Linked DNA regions of Kluyveromyces lactis. The protein of the gene in region 1 interacts with the protein of each later gene in a pairwise test. Links are inferred from orthologs where the notes say so. Each region holds a gene or a part of one and is shown on either strand. Other genes may lie near its edges.

Region 1 (4,212 bases):
CAACGCAACCACCAAATGCAAATAGGCCGTTGGATACTAAAATCAAAAGTCCTCCCCATTGACCCATTGCTGTTTCTACAGATGCTTGATAAGTACTCTTACCGGTTAATTTCAAATTGATCACAATCAGACGAATGGTCCAATCAACCAGTATGGACATTAATATGGTCGCAAATAATCCGCCGATGATTCCGCAATTTTTCATCGCAAAAGGTTGCCCTATCACTCCTGATCCTAAAATACTATTCGCCATGTTCATGAAAGCCATGTACCTGTTAGATTTTGCCTCATTAGATAAATAGATGTCATCTGTTAATGGGTCTTCTTCATTAACATTAAAAATGTTTTGGTCAACTGCGCTGTCAGCTGTCTTCGCGGTGTCATCAAATGACGTTAACTCCAGTTCAAACGGATTTGGTTCATTCTTCGATTGTTTATCAGACAGAGCTAGTTTTGCATACTTTTTATCAGCGGCTATCTGCATCTGTATTAATTATAATTCACAAAGTAGGCCATAAGCGGTTCAACTATCGTGCGCTCCGTTTGCTACTACAACCTTCTTACAGCCATATTGTTTTATCTAAGGCAAGAAGAAATACTTGCAATATATAAATTTGGTGCTTAGTCTTTTGGGTATGATAAGGATGACGAAATTTGACAAATCACGTGCATTGAAATGAAACTCTCTACATCAGGTATTTATTGTTACAAAGTATGCAAGGTAGGAGGAAAGATTGTGCATGACACTAGTTGACGACATCCTTTGCATCGTTAAAACTATCCTCTTCATCAGAATTATCCAAATTTTCAGGCTTTTCAGATTCGGGTTCAAGATCAGCGGACAGATCTTGATAAGTTTCCAATAAATCACTTGGCTCTTCAGATGATGCATGGGTATCATGAGCTGATTCGGCACTTTCTTTGTTATCATTTAATACTGTGGATGATTGTGAGGGCTGTCTTGAATGCTGTGGTTCAATTTTTTTGCTTTTTTTCTCTTCATTCTTTCCTTGTAAATCCGTGGCAGTCTTCTCATTAGTTTTCTCATTATGATCGCCAATATCATCCGATGATTGATCTGTGTGACGTATACCATTGACTGTTTCATCCACACTGATAGAGTTTGCGGTATCCGCTTCAAAATCGAAAGTTTCATCCTCCTCATGTGTTATAGGGACAGGGATATTGTTTGAGGCAATGCCTAGACCTTGTTCTTCTTCAAAACTTTTAGCTTTGGAAATATCTGTTGATGGGGCAATATCTGTAGCTACCGATTCGTCGAGAGACCATACGCCAATATGCGACCATTGTAAAGATGCTCGTAGTTGTGAAAGACGGGCCCATGACCTCTGGATATTGGTTGTTGGTAGTCCGTTTTTGTCGGCAAATTGTGGACCATTTTCTATGATAGGAGTTGAAGATTGCGATTGCTTTAATCCTTGGAAAATACTTAATCTTTTGGATTTCATTTTCGGCCTTGATGCTTTAGTTACCTCGGAGTAAGCATTGACCTTGCCTTGATGTATTGATGCCAAAGCTACTTTTTCTAGATGCCAAGCACCAGATCTCAATGATCTCAAAAATGCGAAAATTTCACAAACTTGTCTTAATTTCAACAAGCAGTAATGGCACACGGGAAATTGATTTGTTAACTCATTTTTACCATTTTCGAGCTTTTGATATGTTTTGAAGATATAAAGTCTTCCATGTTCAAGGATGTCGTTTCTATTTTCACCACAGAAAGCACATGGTTCTACCATAGCAACAGGCGGAGAATTCACCGGACGGCTAAACAAATGAGAATCTTTGTTTTCGACCTCTGGAGAGTCGGGAATACTTGGAGAACTATATCCTGTACGATATGTTTCATTTATTCCACTAATCGGCTCGATTGATACCAGTCCTTCCATCATTAAATTCATTAAATTTCTTTTTACAAGCCATCCTACTCCGGAGGCATTATCAAGTCGCAAGACGGGACTTATTTCATAGTTTATTAATCTCCTTAATAGTTTCGATTCCGAAGTGGTTTGTTGAAGGTTTTCGCATTGTGGTAGCACAGCAAGAAATTTCAAATATTCTGTGTATAGAGGAACGTCATACCTTAACGAATGCAGAAGAGGGGAAAATAACACGCCTTGAAACGACAATGAATTATCATTTACTGAGGTTAGGTTGGTGGTTGATCTATCAATTGATGTGGTAGAGGACGTCGCAGAATCTGAAAGTGAAACGTTCTTCGAAGAATTGAAATCATTTTCGAACTTGTAGAGTACGTTTTTGAGATTCTTTAACTGCATTGACAATGTATCAAGTAATAAATCCTTTTCTTTCAACTGCTCTTTGAGCTTCGAGTTTAATATTTCTACAGCATTTTGTTCTTTCCTTGCATCTGCTACCATGTTATTAGCCTCATCGAATAAAGAAGCGGTTAAGTCTTCAATTTCTTGGTTCAATGTAGCCACTTTCTTTTCGGCATCAGCACAAATTTCTTCCTGTTTCTTGAATTTTGTCTTATCGGTTTCGTATTGTAATTTCAAAGATTGTAGTTCCTGCTTCAATTCATTATATGAGTTCGCAATATTCTGCTGAGTGGAAATGGTTTTCTTAGCCACTAGTAACTGTTCTTCTAATTGGGATTGTTTATCAATGCTTTCGATTAATTGCGTAGATAAAGATGTCACTTGCAAAGATATGCGCTTTGACTCTTCTTGATCCGCCATTCTAAAAATAAGGCTACCGTCAGCTTTGCTTGTAGCAAGTACTTTCTGTTAGCAAAATCAGTGATTCATTTATTGAAGTAAATTACACAGGCGAGTATTTATGTATTTCATTAGTCCTCTGGTAATTTGGTTGATATATATTACATTCTTGATTTCATCAAACATTGGAACTAAATTCATTACCCGGTTTTAAAATGAAAATGTCAATTTCGGTATACGAATTATGTCTATGCAAGTATACACATATTGTAGTTATTAAATAAATGCTGAAATGAGTATTATGTAGTCTTTAAGCATCAATAAACTCATCTTCCGATGAGTTCGATGTGTCCATCAAATCTTGGGTTGGCGATAACGGTTTAGGATGAGGTCCAACTTCTAGGCTTCCAACAAATTGTAGTTTATTAGGTTGGTCTACTTTCACAGAAGAATCTTTTTTTTTCAGATCCCTAAGCTTGTCCTTTGCTTTGATTGGGGATGGAGAAGCGTCTTTTCTTTCGTCAGGGCCTCTTAATTCTAGTAATAAATTCCTTGCTCTATCTGCAGGGTCTTGTTTTGATGACGACAAGCTTTCAGTTTCAGGAAGGCTGGCCGATTTTTTAGCAGTAGGCGATTCGGTAAGCGTTCTATTTTGTTCCACGAAAGCTTCGATAGTACTATCAGCAGTGATGTTATCAAAAATTGATGCCCCGGATTTACCATCTAGTAATTTCTTTCTAGCCAATGCACGTTTACGAGTACTAGATGGATCTCCTTTTGAAGGAGCTGCATTTTTCAATTTATCCAAAAGCTTCTCTATATCGTCCCTATCATCAGACGGTTCTTGCGAAGTGCTTAAATTTTTTGCTGTTGCCTTACTATCTGCCTCCTGTTGTTTCCGTTGTTGATCTTCAATCATTTTCTTTCTCCTTTCGTAAGCACGTTCTTCTTCTTCCAGTTTGACATTATGAGTTTTAGCTTTCTTGAATTCGGTAATGAAATCTGCAAACTTTTGGAAGAAAGAGTTTTTAGAGAACTTGTCGTTGGCATCTTCGCCAAATTTCTTCATTAGATTTTCAAATTCCAGCAAACTTAATTTGATTTCATCGCTTAGAAGATCAGCTTTCTTTCTAGCTTCAGGTAAAACCGGTACTACCTTATTTAAAACACGATCTAACGGATGGAATTTAGAAGGGTCACTTAGGTTTCCAATTTCAATAGAACGCTCAACGTTAATTACTGACTGTGAAAATTCCTTACAATCAGTTACCAACTGTTCGATGGATATTTTTGTTACGCTAAAAATAGGCTCAAGCTCTTCCACGAAATGGCTGTATTCGGGATAATTTTCACGAATTATCTTTTCCACATAGTTCAAAAAAGTCATACTGTTCTTTTCATCTTTAATGAAGGTCAATCTTTGTAGGGTGCTTAGCTTGAACCCCTGAGCTTGCTTTGAAGAATCATTCATATAATTACCAACTGCCAAAATAACATCGAAAACATGTCT
Region 2 (4,580 bases), about 930 kb from region 1:
AAATAGTACTCCAAAAAAGGAGGACAATCGTGCAGATTCTAGTGGAAACGATGCGGTGCCTTTGTTGATAACACTAGAACAGAATATTCAATTACTCAAGCGTAAAGCTCATCTAATAGGGACAAGCAAGGACGGACAACTATTGAGGGTTGATATAAAAAATAGAGTAATCCCCGAAATCCAGAAAATTAGTCGAAAACTGGCTGACTTAACTTCGCTAGATACACAAGATAAATTTGCTCGAGATTTTCAAGCGTTAAGCAAACAATATAACAGTGTAAAGACCGATTATGAGAATAGGGCAGTACAGAATCCCATACCTGACGAAGAGAGTAAAGATAATGAATCGGAACATCTCGTATCGCAATATGAAAGCATGCCAATACAAGACGATATCGAGAGGAGGGATCATTCTTCAGAGGATACTCCGTTACTTTTGTCTACCCAACAGCAAGAGCCTTTGTTGAATCAGGATGAGTTAGATTTTCACACGATAATTCAACATGAAAGATCCCAGGACATATCAAAAATCCACTCTGCTGTGCAAGAGGTCAATGCCATCTTCAAACAACTAGGAAGTCTGGTACAGGAACAGGGCGAACAAGTTGACACAATTGGCGAAAATGTGACAGGATTATCTAATAATTTGCAAAAGGCGAACAAAGAACTTCACAAAGCAAATGAATATCAAAGGAAAAAGAACAGATGTGGTACAATACTTCTAGTAGCTATTGTTGTTATCACTCTAATAACTCTTATCGCGATTCTATCATAGGGTTAGATTCTACGAGGAATGTAACTATATATTAATACAAAATTTATCTCTGGCCTTATACTTGGATGAAAGTTACGTTACGTTTTAGAGAACACGCATCATCAGGTAAATATGTCCGACTTAGAGGTTACAACTAATTATTAATCATAGCTTACTTGTCAGTATCCTTTTTAGTGCTTTCGGAGGAGTTATTTTTGGATAGTTCATAAGACTCAACATTCTTGAGATCTCCACGTTCAATGACAAGATTTTTGAGAAGTCTGTTTTCCATTTCAAGGGTATTGATTCTTTGCTTCAAGTCACAAGCTAACTGTGAAAGATCTTGGACCCAAGTTTCCATTTCTTTCTCTTTAAGTTTTTTAGTTTGATCCAAGTTCGGCAGTTTGGGTCTTGAAGAAAGGGTTGAGGAAGTGGACGACGATTCTACACCATCACTGGAGGAATTGTTTTTATCAGAATCAGTATTATGCTTTTTTTCGTTTATCTTCTCATCGAGACTCTTAGCAGCATTTTCCTTGTCATTGAGAAGTTCTTCCGATTGTCTCACCTCTTCCTTCAATTTAGCAGACGTTACATCCTTCCTAAGAGAGGAAGCTGATTCTAGTTTCCTGACAACTGATTTTGGTGTTTTACTGATACCATCATCCAGTGTTTGCTTTGCAGAATTCTCTTCGCTTTCTTTCTTTATGTTGTTAGAAATTGAGCCGTGGTGCACTTTCGGTGAGTTTTTCATATATGTATCAATAACTCTAGACTCTTTTTCCACTGGAGTTTTTTTGGCTCTTTTTGGATTAGGTTTATGGACACTTGATTGAGGAGATGGCTCAGGTTTTTCATGCAAAAAATCCAATAGCATGCCAACGGAGCTTTGAATATGTTCTTGAGGTTCAGGAACCAGTTGATTTTGCGAATTCACATCTATCGATGAGCCCAGATGGGAAGCTGACGATGGTGGTCTATTTGTAGAGTGATTATTTAAATTAGTTGGCTTCCTCACAGGAGGATCAAACTTTTCTCTTTCTCTTTCATAATAAGCCATAATAGCAGCTATGGCGTCAATCTGTTCTGGTTTAAAGCCAACATTACGCAAAGACTGGTAAGCACCTCTGGGAACATTAATGATAGGCAACAATGATACCAAAGTCGCAGTTTGTATTGTAGAGTAGTCTGGCATCTGTATATTTGATTCAAATCCTGATGTTGCAGCCGTACTTGGACGATACGGATTTTCGTTGCTATTGACATGATTATTACCATGGTTACTAGCTGTGTTGACGATTGAAGAGGCAGACGATACAGTGGTATTGGACGGATATGACATTGAAGTTAAATCATATGCGGCTAATAAATTTGTTAGTGGGGAAGTGGCAAACGGCATATCTCGTTGGCGGTTTGCACTTGTGCCATTTAGGTTGCCTGTATTATGACTATTGGATTGGTCTTGAACATCAAAGTGTGTAAATCCTCCATGATCGGGGATCGGAGAATTCTGTGTCGATGACCTTTTCCTCGAAAACCGTTGCCGCGTATGATCATACTGGTTTCCCAGCAGGTTTGATTTTCTATCGAACAAGTTTCTCTTTTCCGAAGAGTTTCTGTTATTATTATTATTATTATTATTATTATTATTATTATTGTTATTATTACTATTATGATTGTTACCACTGTTATTATTATTGTTATTGTCGATGTTATTATCATTAGTACTAGGATTAGCATTGTTGTTCAATCCGAAGTTATGGTTGCTGTTGTAATGGTCGCCGTTGTCATCGCTATCATGTCTATCAGCTTTGTCTTCATCTGGGAAAATAAAAGTCTCATCTGCGAAAACACTCAATTCCGCCGCTAAACGTTCATCCATCGCGAGCTGATTATCTGCACTTAAACCACCAACTTGATGATTCAAGGGCATCCCACTAAATGAATTTACAGTGTCACCATGAGGTCCCTCATTGTTGTAAAAAGAATTTGTCACATTGGGTCCAAAGTCAGAGTTAAAATCAGTAATAAAATTATCAACAAACGCTAGTTGTTCCAAAAGAATGCTAGGGGTAACATCATTATTCACATCAGCAGGGGGGTTAATCAACGAATGTAAGTGATTCGATGCGGTAGATGGAGAATGTGTCGAGAATTCCGGACTGTTCCCCCAAATGTTGTCCATACCTTGACTGGGATGACTATCATTAGGATTTCGAATATGATTATCCATATTCCTTGCACCAACACCGCTACTGCTGCTACCAGTGCGCTTAAGATTATTGGAAGTTCCACTATTCATAGCGGAAAGAATGAGAGAAGCCGGCTCGATAAATAAAGATTCACTGTCGTTATTCCCTGGAACTAAGGCTCAAATTTGAATGTGGCCTTTCACTCGATGCTGTTGATATCAACAGTAGACGATGATTGAAAATACTTTAGTTTGTATTATTCTTCAGCTCAGGTCTCGTGCAATTTCATCAAAAGTCGGGAAAAAAATGAGGAAAGGGAAAAGAAGAAGAAAAAAGTAATCACCAAACTGTGGAACGTCTATTACCCGGACAAGAAAATTACCCGGATACAGACATTACATCAGCCACAGTACAAACTGCACGTGATACGAAGCACGTGATTTGTGTTCCCTCGTGTTGTTCGCTTTTTTCTTTTCTTGCTTTCCTCCGGTTTCTGCGATCACCCGCGGAAAAATGTTTATTTATCCATCAGTATTAGTGCCTACATTCTCATTTCTCGAGTCAGTAAGCAACCCCGCATTTTATTGCTGGAGTGTTACCGCGTAGATGCTCTCACACAGATAGAAAAGCTCGCTGATCTAAAGAATGATTATACATATCGTAAAGAGAAAAAACAGCACACTAGTGACAGTTTGAAAATCCAGCACAGCAAGTAAACACTCATCCGATGCTCTCCCTATACCTGATCTTTCAGTACTAATGCCGACCGCCGGTTGCCGATCGCCGTTTGATTATTGTGTTTTGCTTGAGGTCGTTACCTGCGTTTGCCAAGTCTTTTTCTTCCTTCAAGATAAGGAGCTTGTAATCTAATCTTCAGAGATGAAAATCTGATAGATAGCGTAAACTAGGGAATCGACAAGACCCCATCGCAAATTATCGAGGACAAGAACAGGAGGTGCGATAAATATCTCCCGACTGACCTATGCATATCAAAAAAACTTTCTTGTCTCCTACCAGTTTGCTCTTACTGTTTCGTGAAATACGGATTAAAGTTTCCTTTTCCATGTTTCTTTTCCATTTTCCTGTGCTTTTCTTTTTTTTACAAAAAACTGGAAAGGAAAAATGAAAAAGAAACATAGTGAGGGTAAATACGGGTTGGTACGGGAAAAGAGCAGCAGAGACACAATTCTATTAGCAGGATAAAACGGCTACGATATTGCGGCTAGTAAAACACAATTTGATCATCTGTGTAAGTAAGAGCTATTGCTCCTTGCATAGATTACCTTGTTGCTCTATCTCCGTTCCTTCCTATCACCTGAGAATTTCCCTCCGTAGTTTTCTCGGTACACAGTTTACATAGCTTAAAGTTAGGTGGGTGTGTGAAATTTAATTTCTTTTTCAGTGTTTTCACAAAAGGTTTAATGTGTAAATTCAAAATTTAAAGCCAGAGTAACTGCTTCCTGTTTACAGTTGTCTCATAAACTCTCACTGTCTTTACTTCGATCTCAAGGTAGATATCAACAAACTTTTACTTATTCAGTAACTCTGCTCAACAAGGTTACTTCACTGAAAGATTTTCAGAAGGTATACTACTTTTTTTTTGAGGAAAAACCGTTTAGTGTTGACGAAAATAG
Region 3 (4,649 bases), about 1.3 Mb from region 1:
AGAATGAGCTTAAAAATGAAGCAGAAAAACGCAGAAAGGCAGAAAAAGAACAAAAGAAGAAGGAAGAAGAGAATCAACGGAGGATTCAGGAAGAACAACAACGTACAAACCAAGGCTCCAATAGTACTATAGAGGTCCTTTGAGCGACATTTGAGTTATTTTGTCAAAAGTTGAAACGCTTTATATTTGCATCTCCCGTTTTGTTTCGTATTTGAAGTTTGGAAATTTTTAATTTGGTATTTAATTTATTATAATAAGTCATTCTATTCATAGATATAATCTTATTTTACTACTAAACGATATCGGTATCGTTTCAAAAAAAAAGTAGTAAGTGTTTAATGGAAAAAACCCTAATCCATATATATATAATCATTATATAAAATGTAAATTGTAAAAAACCCAATCCAAAAGATGATCAATCCTAAACCATTTTGGATTTTAGTGCCTTTAACCTATTAGCAATACTTGAAATGTATTTCTTTATCATTTCCTTATCTGATTCGTCTAAGGAGGTGATATTTGATGCATACTCGTCATCATAGACTTCGTTGAATTGAAAATTTTCGTCCAGCAAAATTTCTAACATCCATAATGAAGTAGCATAGGCTAGTTCACAAGTATTGTAATTCCCACTTTCCATTTCCATTCTTGCAGCATTTCTAGATATATCTAAAGCACGATCGTATATTAACTTTTCAACAAAAATTACAGGGTCATCATCTGACCATTGGGAATTTGGTGATGTATTAATAGCATGGAGCTTTAAACGCAAAAATTCAGCCTTGTCTAAGCATTCGTTAAAGCGATCTCTAATCCACTGCACCAAAATGTTTAGCTTCAAAGTGCAGTTTTTACTTTCATTTTCATACCACCATTTTGATGTTAATTTCATTGAAGCAGCTAAAATAGTAAGAGCTTTTAGATAAAGAAGTAAAGATTCGGTGCACAACTTTTTCAACTCGGGGGCCGGTATTTGAGTGTCAACATTGGTGGCTGATGAAATCTTTGTTGTTGCTGAGGTCAAAGTTTGATTAGAAGGTGGGCGGCCTTGATCCAAATCTTCTTCATCCTCTATCGCGCAACTTCCGTTACTTAGACGTTTATCTGACAGTGGGTCATAGTCGGTTGAAGAAGGAGGAGTTGGAAGAATTTGAGAGAATTTCATTTCAGCGAACGAATACATGACAAATGCTTTGGCCGCAAGCGATTCCACTGCAGGAGTTATGTTGGAATCCAACATTTGTTCGCTGAAAGGATTTAGTTTATGATCAGCCCTCAATACTGCATTTTCCGTTAGCTCCTGAAATATCTGAGGATTCAGTAGTGTTTGTTGAGGTGGCGAAGAAGTAGCCTTTGTATTATGTTGATATCCGAAAAGCCTTACAGAAGCTAACCCTAGTGCCTTCGATAACGCATTCGACGGGCTTAATGACGATATCGAAAGCCTTCTCTCCACTAAAGAGGCTCTTCTTCCTCCTGATGCATCGCTAGAAGAAGACGTTCTGTATCTCAAGGGTTTTATAACTTGTGCCCCTTGGTTGTTTGTTATGGGTCCATTATTAGCAAAATCATCAGCCAAAGAATTTACTTCGACAGTTTTCTTCTCCACAACAACATACTCCTTCTCCAAAATCAAATCATTGTAAGAGCTCTTTAGCCTCTTCTGACTTGCAGATTGGTAGCTTTGTTCTGGGTTTTGAGAGTTATCTTCTGGGTGGATCTGTTGATGTGGTGGATGGTTTGTTGCGAGCCTCTCTTTACCTGAGGTTCGCCTAACGCCAGTTTGTACACTAGTGTTCTCGTCAGTTTGAGTTGGTGGTATATGTGCAGATTCCTGCTGCTTTAATGGTTTGACTAGATATTCTGAAACAAACATATTACTTTCAGCGACATCTTTACTCTTGGATTCTAAGTCTGGCTCATACGATTGCTCGTACCTTGTCAAATCTTCTGTCACTACTTCGTTATTGAAAAAATCAGTGAACCCCATACGGGAATCCGGGTCAAAAGTTAGCAACCCTCTTATTAGATTGAACAGTTTCGGTTCAATATAGCAATTTGAGGGCACTGTAATCTCATCGTTGGCCTTTTTAATCTTTTGAAACAACTCGAGATGGTTTGATGCTTTAAAAGGCGGTCTCCCGCAACACATTTCGTATAGCACCGTTCCTACTGACCAAAGATCAGCCTTGGCATTGTATTTTTGATAGTTTAATATTTCTGGAGCCATGTACAATGGTGACCCGCATAAAGTTTCTGCTAGAGAAGTATTAGGCAAGAATCTAGCGAACCCAAAATCCGCGATTTTCAAGATGGGTAAATTGTAGATTCCCACAAACCCCAACTCATGAAACGTCTTCGGATCATTATAATCTAATAACGGTGTGCATAACAATAAATTCTGTGGCTTGATATCTCTGTGTACTAGATTCTTAGATCGCAAAAACTTAAGCGCAGAGGATAGTTGTTGTAAATAGTTTACCACAAGAACCCGATTTAATCCATTATGTTCCGTACTTGGTGGCGGGTAATGTTCAAAAACAGTCTTTATCAAAGGATGCTTGAGCACTAGGTTCTTCCTCTTCTTTATGAAAAACGTTAAATCACCTAGTGCACAGTATTCCATGATCAAATAGAAATCAGATGAAGTCCGCTCACAATCTATTAACCCCACAATATGCGGATGTTTGATCTTCTTTAAAATGGCAATTTCGACCTCCAAATTCTCCAAAAGCTTCTTGTTCTTTAGCTTCGACCTCGACACGGCCTTGATAGCTATGTTTCTCCCATCTCTTAACGATAGACCTTTGTAAACAACCGCGAATGAACCCTTACCGATCTCCTTCTCCACGGAATAGTTTTCTGTCGGCAAACGAATGGCTTTCGCCACAACTTTGTCGTGCGATTCTGAACTCATGCTCAACCGCTTTCCATATGACTACTCAGTGCCAGACCGTTGTCATTCTTTGGCCTCTTTCTTTACAAGGGGGGGCGTTCTTATTTCTTATAAATGGTTTTTAAGGATCAAAACTTAGTTTGTAATAAGTCATTTTGAACTTTATATAGAAATAAAGAAACAAAGAAGGAAAGACAGATATATCGCAGAAAACGTACACAGTAAAGGCAGTGGAAAGACACTGGTGCTTGGTGGAACGGTTTTAAGAAAACGCTCGTTAAGTGCAAATAAGATATGATTGGTTATGAGTCAATGGGAGGTTTTTTTTTTGATGGTCAGTAAGATAATAGTGGTGATAGCTAGGTAGTAAGTAGATCGTGGATGTTCCGGATAAGAGTGTATAGCAGACGTTGTGAAACGTCAGAGGAGGAAGACAAAGTTAGATATTAGTTGTAGCGGTGTTTTGGTTTTAGCCATATTTACGTATTATATAGGCAAACATAGGTATGAGAGATTAAACCGTAGTGCGGTAGCAGATGTGCAGTTGCAGCTGCAGCTGCAAAGAAGGCCAAGGGATGATGATCTATTGGAATGGGGGGTAGAATTGTTGTTGGTACTGTTGTGGTTGTTGGTATTGCATTTGTTGTAACTGTTGTTGCTGCAGGAGCTGTTGCTGTTGCTGCTGTTGTAGCTGCTGTTGTTGTAGCAGTTGCTGTTGCTGCTGTTGTTGGTCCTGCTGTTGTTTTTGGAGATTCAGGATCTGTTGGTATTGTGGATTATCCGGTTTGATTTCTACGGCACTAGAATATAAATCTGGTCTTTGATACAGTGATAATAGTGTGTTCTTATCTATCGATGGTTGAGCAGTGAATTGAGGCTGTACCTGTTGGGTGAACTGAGGTTGTAATTGCTGTGTGAATTGGGGTTGCACTTGTTGTGTAAACTGAGGTTGAACCTGTTGTGTAAACTGAGGTTGAACTTGTTGTGCCAATGCTTGTACCTGGGCCTGCTGCATTGCCGCATAGGAGTTTTGATCTACATAAATTTGGCCGGTAGTTGGATCATAGTATTGTTGTACCCCATCGAATACTGCTGGGCGAGGTTCTGCCGATGCTGTACTAGGTAGGCTTGGTTCACTTGTTCCATCGAAAACGGCTTCTTGCACTTTGTTGTCCGGCCTTTTTGGAAGCGGAGGTCTGTCTCCTTCTCTTGATCTTGGTCTACTGCTGGCAGATGAGGCAGAACGGTTTCTTCTGGACCCGGACGCAGATGATGGGCGGGATGACTTGTAGTCCAATTGTGACGAATCATCCTCTAGATTGAAATCTTCCACCTTGACAGCGGTATGTCTGAACTTACCCTTTAAATATTTATCCCTGATAAACATTTCAACGGCAGTACGATCCTCGTCACCGTCAAATGGGAAAGGTTCTTTCTTAGGGTTCCAAAAACTGCTGTTATGTTTGTTTCCTCCAAGATCGGCAACAGTTTGAACGTCACGCTTAGACCATCTATCAAGAGATAAAGATTTCACGATACTAGTAGCACCATCTTCTCTGCTGCCTAACACTTTCCTATGTACGGAAGCACACCGACCGCACAAGAATACACCCAAGTTCACTGAACAGTAGGTAGGGAATGGTGTCCCACATTCACCACATTTATTTGAATTCTCACCAGCGTTAAGCAAAAACTTTAAATCATGTTCTACAGATTCACCTCTTGATCGTCTCATTTTTGGTTTCCTCGCTTC

The links.
Region 2: the proteins of SEC2 (region 1) and MET4 interact in a two-hybrid assay, tested with the Saccharomyces cerevisiae proteins (2 studies listed by BioGRID). The link is inferred for Kluyveromyces lactis from reciprocal best matches to the Saccharomyces cerevisiae genes SEC2 and MET4.
Region 3: the proteins of SEC2 (region 1) and ATG1 interact in a two-hybrid assay, tested with the Saccharomyces cerevisiae proteins (2 studies listed by BioGRID). The link is inferred for Kluyveromyces lactis from reciprocal best matches to the Saccharomyces cerevisiae genes SEC2 and ATG1.

What each region holds. Positions count from the first base shown.
Region 1 is NC_006039.1:193,521-197,732, forward strand, and holds SEC2 (guanine nucleotide exchange factor SEC2), read right to left. Parts: upstream 2,724-4,212; coding exon 747-2,723; downstream 1-746. Other genes in the region: AVT2 (Avt2p), read right to left, coding at 1-484; formin BNI1, read right to left, coding at 3,013-4,212. UniProt on the Saccharomyces cerevisiae protein: Guanine nucleotide exchange factor for SEC4, catalyzing the dissociation of GDP from SEC4 and also potently promoting binding of GTP. Activation of SEC4 by SEC2 is needed for the directed transport of vesicles to sites of exocytosis.
Region 2 is NC_006039.1:1,125,215-1,129,794, reverse strand, and holds MET4 (Met4p), read right to left. Parts: upstream 3,057-4,580; coding exon 927-3,056; downstream 1-926. Other genes in the region: SNAP receptor VAM3, read left to right, coding at 1-775. UniProt on the Saccharomyces cerevisiae protein: Positive trans-acting factor capable of stimulating the transcription of the MET genes from the methionine biosynthetic pathway. MET4, MET28 and CBF1 are required for full induction of MET25 and MET16 gene transcription.
Region 3 is NC_006039.1:1,497,227-1,501,875, reverse strand, and holds ATG1 (serine/threonine protein kinase ATG1), read right to left. Parts: upstream 2,918-4,649; coding exon 422-2,917; downstream 1-421. Other genes in the region: KLLA0_C17182g (uncharacterized protein), read left to right, coding at 1-143; GTS1 (Gts1p), read right to left, coding at 3,480-4,631. UniProt on the Saccharomyces cerevisiae protein: Serine/threonine protein kinase involved in the cytoplasm to vacuole transport (Cvt) and found to be essential in autophagy, where it is required for the formation of autophagosomes.